2 linked regions of the Struthio camelus genome follow. The protein of the gene in region 2 interacts with the protein of the main gene of each other region in a biochemical or structural test. Links are inferred from orthologs where the notes say so. Each region holds a gene or a part of one and is shown on either strand. Other genes may lie near its edges.

Evidence for each region.
Region 1: the proteins of PLCG1 (region 2) and ITK form a complex in vitro, tested with the Homo sapiens proteins (2 studies listed by BioGRID, with this or other methods). The link is inferred for Struthio camelus from reciprocal best matches to the Homo sapiens genes PLCG1 and ITK.

The regions. Positions count from the first base shown.
Region 1 is NC_090954.1:11,276,958-11,280,707, forward strand, and holds the start of ITK (tyrosine-protein kinase ITK/TSK), read right to left. Parts: upstream 2,815-3,750; 5' UTR 2,748-2,814; coding exon 2,577-2,747; intron 1-2,576. UniProt on the Homo sapiens protein: Tyrosine kinase that plays an essential role in regulation of the adaptive immune response. Regulates the development, function and differentiation of conventional T-cells and nonconventional NKT-cells.
Region 2 is NC_090959.1:7,247,829-7,251,578, reverse strand, and holds the start of PLCG1 (1-phosphatidylinositol 4,5-bisphosphate phosphodiesterase gamma-1), read right to left. Parts: upstream 2,587-3,750; 5' UTR 2,500-2,586; coding exon 2,298-2,499; intron 1,791-2,297; exon of another isoform or gene 1,776-1,790; coding exon of another isoform or gene 1,685-1,775; intron 1-1,684. UniProt on the Homo sapiens protein: Mediates the production of the second messenger molecules diacylglycerol (DAG) and inositol 1,4,5-trisphosphate (IP3). Plays an important role in the regulation of intracellular signaling cascades.

The sequences.
Region 1 (3,750 bases), on a different chromosome or scaffold from region 2:
TCCTTGGAACCCGCATACTTTAAAAGCCCAGCACTTGCTGGCCCCCTCTATACAGTGCAGCGAGCGAGCCTGAGTCACTGAGGCCAGCGAGCACAGAGCAGCCGATGCCATGCTGCTTGGCCCCCTCGCCTCCTGAGTGAGGTGGCCACAAGCAGATGGTCTACTGACAACGGCCCATGGTCTATGCTAATGCCTGCCGTCCCCACGAATTGTCTGAGCAGAGCCAAAACTGTGCCAGGGCCTGTGCTGGAAGAGTCCTGGTACACACCATTAATTTCTATGCCTGCAAATGCTCCCTGGTCCTGTTTGGTTTGCTAGGATGGACATAGCCAGCGTGTCAGGCAAATACAATCATTTTCCCGTCACGGGCCGCAAGGCTGTGAACATGGTTGCTCAGGATTCACTCAGTTCTTAGCATGAGACACGACAGCGATTCCACGGCCTGCCTTAAGCTTTCCTCTCCAGAACAGGGATGACCAGACTGCATGGAGGCCTGACCAGGATGATCTGTTTTGTGGGAAATACACTGAAGAGCCTGAGGACTGGTTCTGGGAGCATGTAAAAGCGCAAATACTCTTTCCACATTTGGTACTAAGTTCTTCTGTTAATGTAATGACCTGATTTTGATAGTTTGTATCAACACAAAATCAATGTTTCATGGAACATCGGCCCTGAAGTTATAGACATACCCACAGTCACTCAAATGTTTGTATGTGCCTAAAGTCATATTAGTGTGTTCATACATATGTATGTCTATACATATGTAATGCGTGTAAGTTTATAACAGATAACATATGAGATAGAGTAGATAGTGCACCAAGTCCTCATCTGGTCCAACTTTGCATAGATCTATTTTGATGCCTCTGGACTTACAGCATTTTAAATCACTTAAAGATCTGGTCCTCTATGGTCTGATTTTGGACATCAAATTTTCAGAAGTTCCTAAGTTCCTAACCTACATAAATAAATAAATAAGTAAATAAAAAGGTATTTGCCAGCTGTCGTTCACCATGAATTCAGATTTTGAATGTGTAGTGTACCAATGTGCCTTTGCAAGCTTTTTAAATATTTGTGTTGGGGCAGTCTGAATATATCCCACAATGGCCTACTTGACATTCAGGAAGGCTAGGGGATAACATTTCCCAAGATGCTCATGTAACATATGAAATCTAAGCCCCACTGAAAGTCACTAAGTCAGATTTTCCAAACTACTTATGTGTCTAAAAATGCAGGCAGACACCTGTGCAATTCCGCAAAAGTACTTAGGCAGGATAAATGCTGAATTCCTCTCAAATCCATCAGGATTCAGAAAGTACCAAAAAACCCTAGGTATTAAGATTCCTCTAAATACGTACAGCTGAATCACTTAGATGTTTTTGAAAATTTTACCCAGCATAATCGAGTAGAATGGTTAGAATCCAAAATCTTAAAATAATAACATCTGAAAGATAGTCTGGATAGCAGCCACAGAGAGTCTGAAACTAAATACAGAAAAACAAGGCAGCAATAAATGTTTTCCTATTTAAATATGGAGGTATGGAAAAGCACCATCTATAAAATAAAAGCAAGTAAAACATTTGCTGAACATATTTGAGAGAAGTAACTTGCAAGTAATAATGACTATTAACCCTTAAGACAGGTATCCAACCTCAACTGGGCAATGATATGATACAAGGGCTCATCGTAATTTGCTTTCCTTGTTGGTTTCAGTTTTAAATTAATTTTCTATGTCTGTGAGCAATGTCTGATGATCTCAAGTTGCCAAAGCCAGACAGCAAGGCAACACGGTCCCCAGTACTTGCTTGTGTAAGGTAACATCACTTAAACATAATGGATTAATCGCATATTCAGCAATTATTGGAAAACAAGCTGTATGATTTACAACTGTCTAATGAGGCCCAGAAAACATCCAGCTAAATATAGGAAGAGGGGAATAATTCTTACTTCACTAGCATAGCTAGCACAATGGGGTGTGCAGACTGGCTTCTAATTTTCTTCATATTTAGCAAATCAGAGAAATGAAAGCTGAAAAAATGACTAGTCTGAGCATGTATCTCATCATCACATTCCTTTTTAAGCTAAATCCAAAGGCTAGACCTGTTAAGCATGGCAGCTGAATTTATCTAAAAATGTAAGACCTAGCAGCCACCAGTTTGTTACCCTAAAGAAAGATGAGAGAGTAAAGACAGGGGCTGATTTTTTTTCCCAGATGTAATTAGGGTACATAGCGCAGAACACTTGTGATCGCTGCAATGTGCCGCTGCAGGTCACTCCTGTACCAACGCAAACAGCCAGGCGCAGACCCACTCGGCTGTTACATATATCGGTTGTGACAGCCCACTGTAAATTCCTACAACAAAACTAGATCTTTTCTGTAAAACAGCTAGGTAGTCTTATTCCCCCATTCACACCAGATGCCCATTGACCAGTAGTTTTGAATGACCAGTTTGACCACTTTGCAATTTTCAGCAAATGGTGCTGTAATAAGGACTAGAAATACGAAGTTGATAATGCTTAACGGAGAGTTCATCCTTCCTTCCATTGCTGTATTATGTGAGAGAAAATGGCTGACATACCCCATGGCGATGTTCATAGTAAGCCAACTTGGACTGGGTTAAGACAAAGAAGCGCACTTTGAAGTTGGAGGGAGACGTCCTTCTCTTCTGCTGGGATTTTTTGATGAGCTGTTCCTCCAGGAGCACACAGTTATTCATTGCTGAGCCAAGAACAGTCCTCTCCCAGGACATGGGATGCCTGCCCTACGCGCTGAGCACCCGTCCAAGACAGAGAAACAAGAAGGAAGACAGTTAATTTTTTTAACAAAAAAGGTGTTCATAAGGCAGCGTAGGTGCTTTGAGCTTTATCTTCCCATCTACAGCAGGCTTCCTTTCTGTCAAACCATAACCACATCCTCTCTGAAGTCATAAACCGAACAGCACATGCTGAAATATCCTCTAAGGTAAATGTTGTGGAAAAAATAACACTTCAGCGACATTCAACAGATGTGAGTCAATGATCAAGGATTAATAAAGAGGTGTGGCATGATTAAGCATCTGTCTCCTACTTGTCCATCCAGTAAATACAGTTATAAATGCATACACTGAACTTGAATGTATAGGAGAAGTGTCTTTCCTGTCCTCTTAGAAGTAGGTCACACATCCTTTTTTGTTTTTTTTACGAAAAAAAGTATTTTGAGGAAATTTCTTACATAACATGAAAGTTCCTAATATGTAAGCAAAGGCAAAAAGGCAGTTCAAAGCAATTAAACCTACTACCCATATAAAAAATCATATCCATTATATATTTTTACAAGGAAGGATAAATACTTACAGTTGTTAGATATTTAATCTGATAGCAAACAGTTATAATAACTGATAACTAATTAGTTATTATCAGTTACTGTTTACTGATTGCTGTCTGCTTCATAGGCACTCTAATTAGTCCAGAGCTGAATGCTGCGAGAAACACAGGCACAACATACACTCTGTGTAATCAAGATCCCTGTCATCAGCAGCAAAGTGAGCAGAAATACCAAAATAAGTGCAATACGTTTCCTCAGGACTTCACTGCACCATTCTGGACAGCCTGCAGCAGCTTAATTTTAGAATTTTAAAACATGTAAATATTTTAAATATTTTAAAAAAACTCAGTAAAAAAACCATTTGTTTTAAAACAAATGCAATAGATTTTCCTCTGTTCTTGCATTTTTAATATTTTGTGCATTATTTTATCAGTGATGTATAACTGTAG
Region 2 (3,750 bases):
GAAAATGGTCAGCTTGACTCCAGCTCAGACTCTTTACCCTGGATCAGACCATGGCCAAGTGGGCCCTGTGCCAATCAAGGGTAGATTTCAAGAGTGGGATGAGCCAGGAGAGAAATAAGTCAATGCATTTGTCATATAAAACGCCATACGTGGAACACATAATTGCCACATTTCTTATGAATCTATACATCCGGGGTCTCCCAGGCATCCTTTTTACACCCAGAAAGCACATTCAGATGAAAATGGGGAAACTGGCCAAGTGTTCGGGATTGCTGGGCAACAGGACACCCTTTCTTCTGGGTGCTGGGAGGAGGAGGGAACTAAGGCCAACAGCTAAGGTGAGAGGAGGTAGGTGCAGAGAAGAGGCCATGTGTAGAATTTGCCAACGACAACAAAGTTGCTTTGCTGGGCATTAGTGCATCTGGCATCAGAGACAGCTTGGGGAGGAAGAAACCTCTTTACGGTGACATCTTATTGCTATAGTACCACCCATCTCGACATGTCAGAAAACACACGCCTTGGGAGGGCTGCGCTCAACATGGGATGTGAGGAACATGCTGGGGACCATGAGCACAAGGCCACCAGGGCCAACTCACCAACAACTTTCTGCTACGATGTTTAAAGGGACATAAGGGAACGAGGTGTTCAGTGACCACTGACTCTTATTTTTCATTTGCTAGAAACACATGGATTGCCTTTTTTTGATTACCTCGGTCCCTGGAACTTGTTCTCTGCTTTTACTGGTCTGGTCTTCACCCTATGCACAGCACAGTAAGTCCTCACCGGCAAGACATTATAAGCATTGTTACTACTACAGTTTTGGTGCAAGAAGTTAAAGTTCTCTAGGTTTCTCTAAAATTAAGTTTTCAACATTTACATCTGCACATGGGAATAATCACCCGTGTACAGGGCAGCAGGTACCAGAGCCCCTCCAGGGGTTCTTCCCTCACAGGCCCTGGTCCCCCACTGCCACAAAATGCAGCATCTTGCCAGCAAGCTAATGCTTTTCCATATTTTAAAAGTGACTTAAATCCAGGGCAAGCCATGCCTCAGGCTCCTCCCTCTTTCTCCCACTGCCTGAAAGCTCCTAGAGGCCACCCTGAGAAAGGTATGGAGGAACTTAACATCCCACGATGTTAATGGGGCTGGGAAACCTAGGCGTCCTCCAGATCCGCCTGGAGGAGCTGTTGGGGAGAAGCTGGAAGACTCCAAGGGTTTTGAAGCAAACGAAAGCCCCAGATTGGACACACTAGCATTTGAGGTCCTGCTAAAGAACTGTGTCCATCATTTCCACGTCCTCTCTTCATCTGAGCCCTCTGGTAACATTAAATATTTCCAGCCTTTCCACCCTGGGCCAGCAGAAGTTAGCAGAGGACAGACGACAACCTCCATCGAAGCTGCACTGTGCCTCAGTCACATCCCTTAACGCGCGGGATGGTGCTAACGCACGACAGTGACGGCACCAGGATTTACGTCACCTCATCTTTGTGCGTGTCAGCTCTTCCTCTCCTCCAGAGCCAAACTAGAGACAGTGTCCTCAGACTGGTGCGCATGGGGGTGCAAAAGGTAACTTAAAAGAAACAGCAGTAAGCTAGGAAACCAAAGCAAGAGGTTAGAAGTCTCCTGGTGTGGGGCCTCCCTTCTCTCTCTCCCTTCCCACCCGTCTTTGTGGTTTTATACTCACGTTTCTTATGAGTCTTTTCTCCTACCCTCCTCGTGCTAAAGAACCACGTCGCCCACGGGAAGCCGAAGCCAGCAAGCAGCTCCGCACACATGGCCGCAGACGGGCCTGGACCCGCCACGCCAGCCCTGACCCCGCATCAGCCTTCACGGCGGCACAAAGGGGCGAGGGCAGGAGGCAGCGCTGACCTTACGGGGCGTTTCGGTGCACTTTCTGGCGTTGGGTTTCTTTGGGTTTTTTGTTTTTTTGGGGGGGAGGGGGGCTGTTTGTTTAATTTCATCCGTTGCTCTGAGGTGTAACCCCCACGGGGCTCACACGGCCGCTGTTGCCTCCTCCCGGTGCGCCTTACCCGGGGCAGAGGTGCCGGCTCCTCCGCGGCAGCCGGCGGTGCACGGCACCGAGGACGGTGCGGGAAGTTTCCACCCGCCGCGTCCCGGCAGCACCGGCGGGGCCGGGCCCGGCGCTCGCCCGCTCCCGCGCCCCCCCCGGGCCGCCCCGCCCGGGTCCCCGCCGGGGCAGGACAGCGCAGGGCAAGGCGGGCCCCGGCCCCGGCCCCGGCACGGGCGAACCAGGAAACCTCTCCCCCCGCCGCCGCCGCCGTTGTTCCCCCACTCACCGGCGCCCTCGAGCTTCTCGGAGCCGCGGCTCCAGGTGACCTGCCGCGTCTCCAGCTTCACCTGGAAAGTTTTCCTCTCGGGCCGCTGGGATTTCTTGGAGTAGAAGAGGGTCATGACGGTGCCCACCTCCAGGCTGCGGCAGAGGTGCGCCGCCTCGGCCTCGCTGGGCGCGCCGGGGCCGCTGCCCGGCCCGGCCGCCATTAGCGCCCGCCGCCGCCGCGGAGCCGCCGAACAAAAGGGAGCGGGAGCGCCCGGAGCGCCGCCGCCGCCGCCGCGCTCAGCGCCGCCCGCCGCGCCCCATGCCCGCCCGCCGCGGCGGCCGGCGGCCAGGAGGCGGGCGCGGGGGCAGGGAAGGGGCGGCCGCGCCGGCGGAGCGCGGCCCCCTCGCGGTGCCGGCGGCTGCGCTGCTCCGCTGCTCCGCGCCGGGCCCCGCAGCCCCGCGCCGCCGCCGCACAAAGGGGAGAAAGGGAAACTGCAGGCTTTGGCTTTAGCACCCCCTGCTCCGACGCGCGTGGGGTCCTGGTGAGCCACGCACCGCGCCGCCTGCCCGGTGTCCCAGGAGGGCCGCGCACCCCACGGCGCAGCGCTCGGGCGTCCCAGCGTGCCGCGCACCCCACGGCACTCCCAGGCTCCCAGGTGTGCCGTGCACCCCACGGCACGGCTCGCATGGGGTCCCAGCGTGCTGTGCGCTCTGCAGCGCTTGTGGGGTCCCCGGAGTGCCATGCTCCCCACAGCGCGGTGTGCTTGAGGTCCCAGCGCACCCCGCACCCAGCAACCCACGTGGGCTCCCAGCGCTCCCCGGCACGTGTGAGGTGCCAGTGTGCCGTGCGCCCCATGGCACAGCACACGTGGGGTCCCACGGCACGTGTGGGGTGCTGGCGTGAACCTACCAGCGCGCCGGTGCACAGCCAGGAGGGAGCCAGCCGAGCCCCCCGCAGCCCCCCACACCTCGCGTTGGCAGCGGGCGCTTCTGGGGACGCGAGGTGGTTTCCACCCTGCCGCGCTGCGAGGGGTCGGGCGGGAGGGTTTTGTGCTCCCTCCAGCCCCAGGGGGGTCCAGCCCCGCGGCTCCGCTCCCGGCCTCCGGCTGCAGCAGCGTCCTCCTCGCCGGTCCCGGCTCGTGGCTAGCGTTGTCCGACGCGGCGACGTGGGGCTGCCCGGCGGTCCTTGCCGCGGCCTGCCGACGGCCGCTCCGCAGGGCCGCGCAACTTGAGCAAGACTGGCTCTTTTGGGGGCTAAATCAGGTGAGGGAGGCAGTGCAGGCCGCTAGGTGGGCGCAAGGTCTCGCCCTCGCGGCCGGCAGACGGGCGAGCGCCCACCGCTGCCTCTGGCCCCGGGGGGCCGGGGCAAGAGCAAGGCCGTGCCCCAGCGGCGGGGGAGCCGGCTCGGTGCAGCAGCGGGAGCTCGTGCGCTCGGTGCGGGCCGCAGAGGCCGGGGCGAGAAGCCCCCCGCC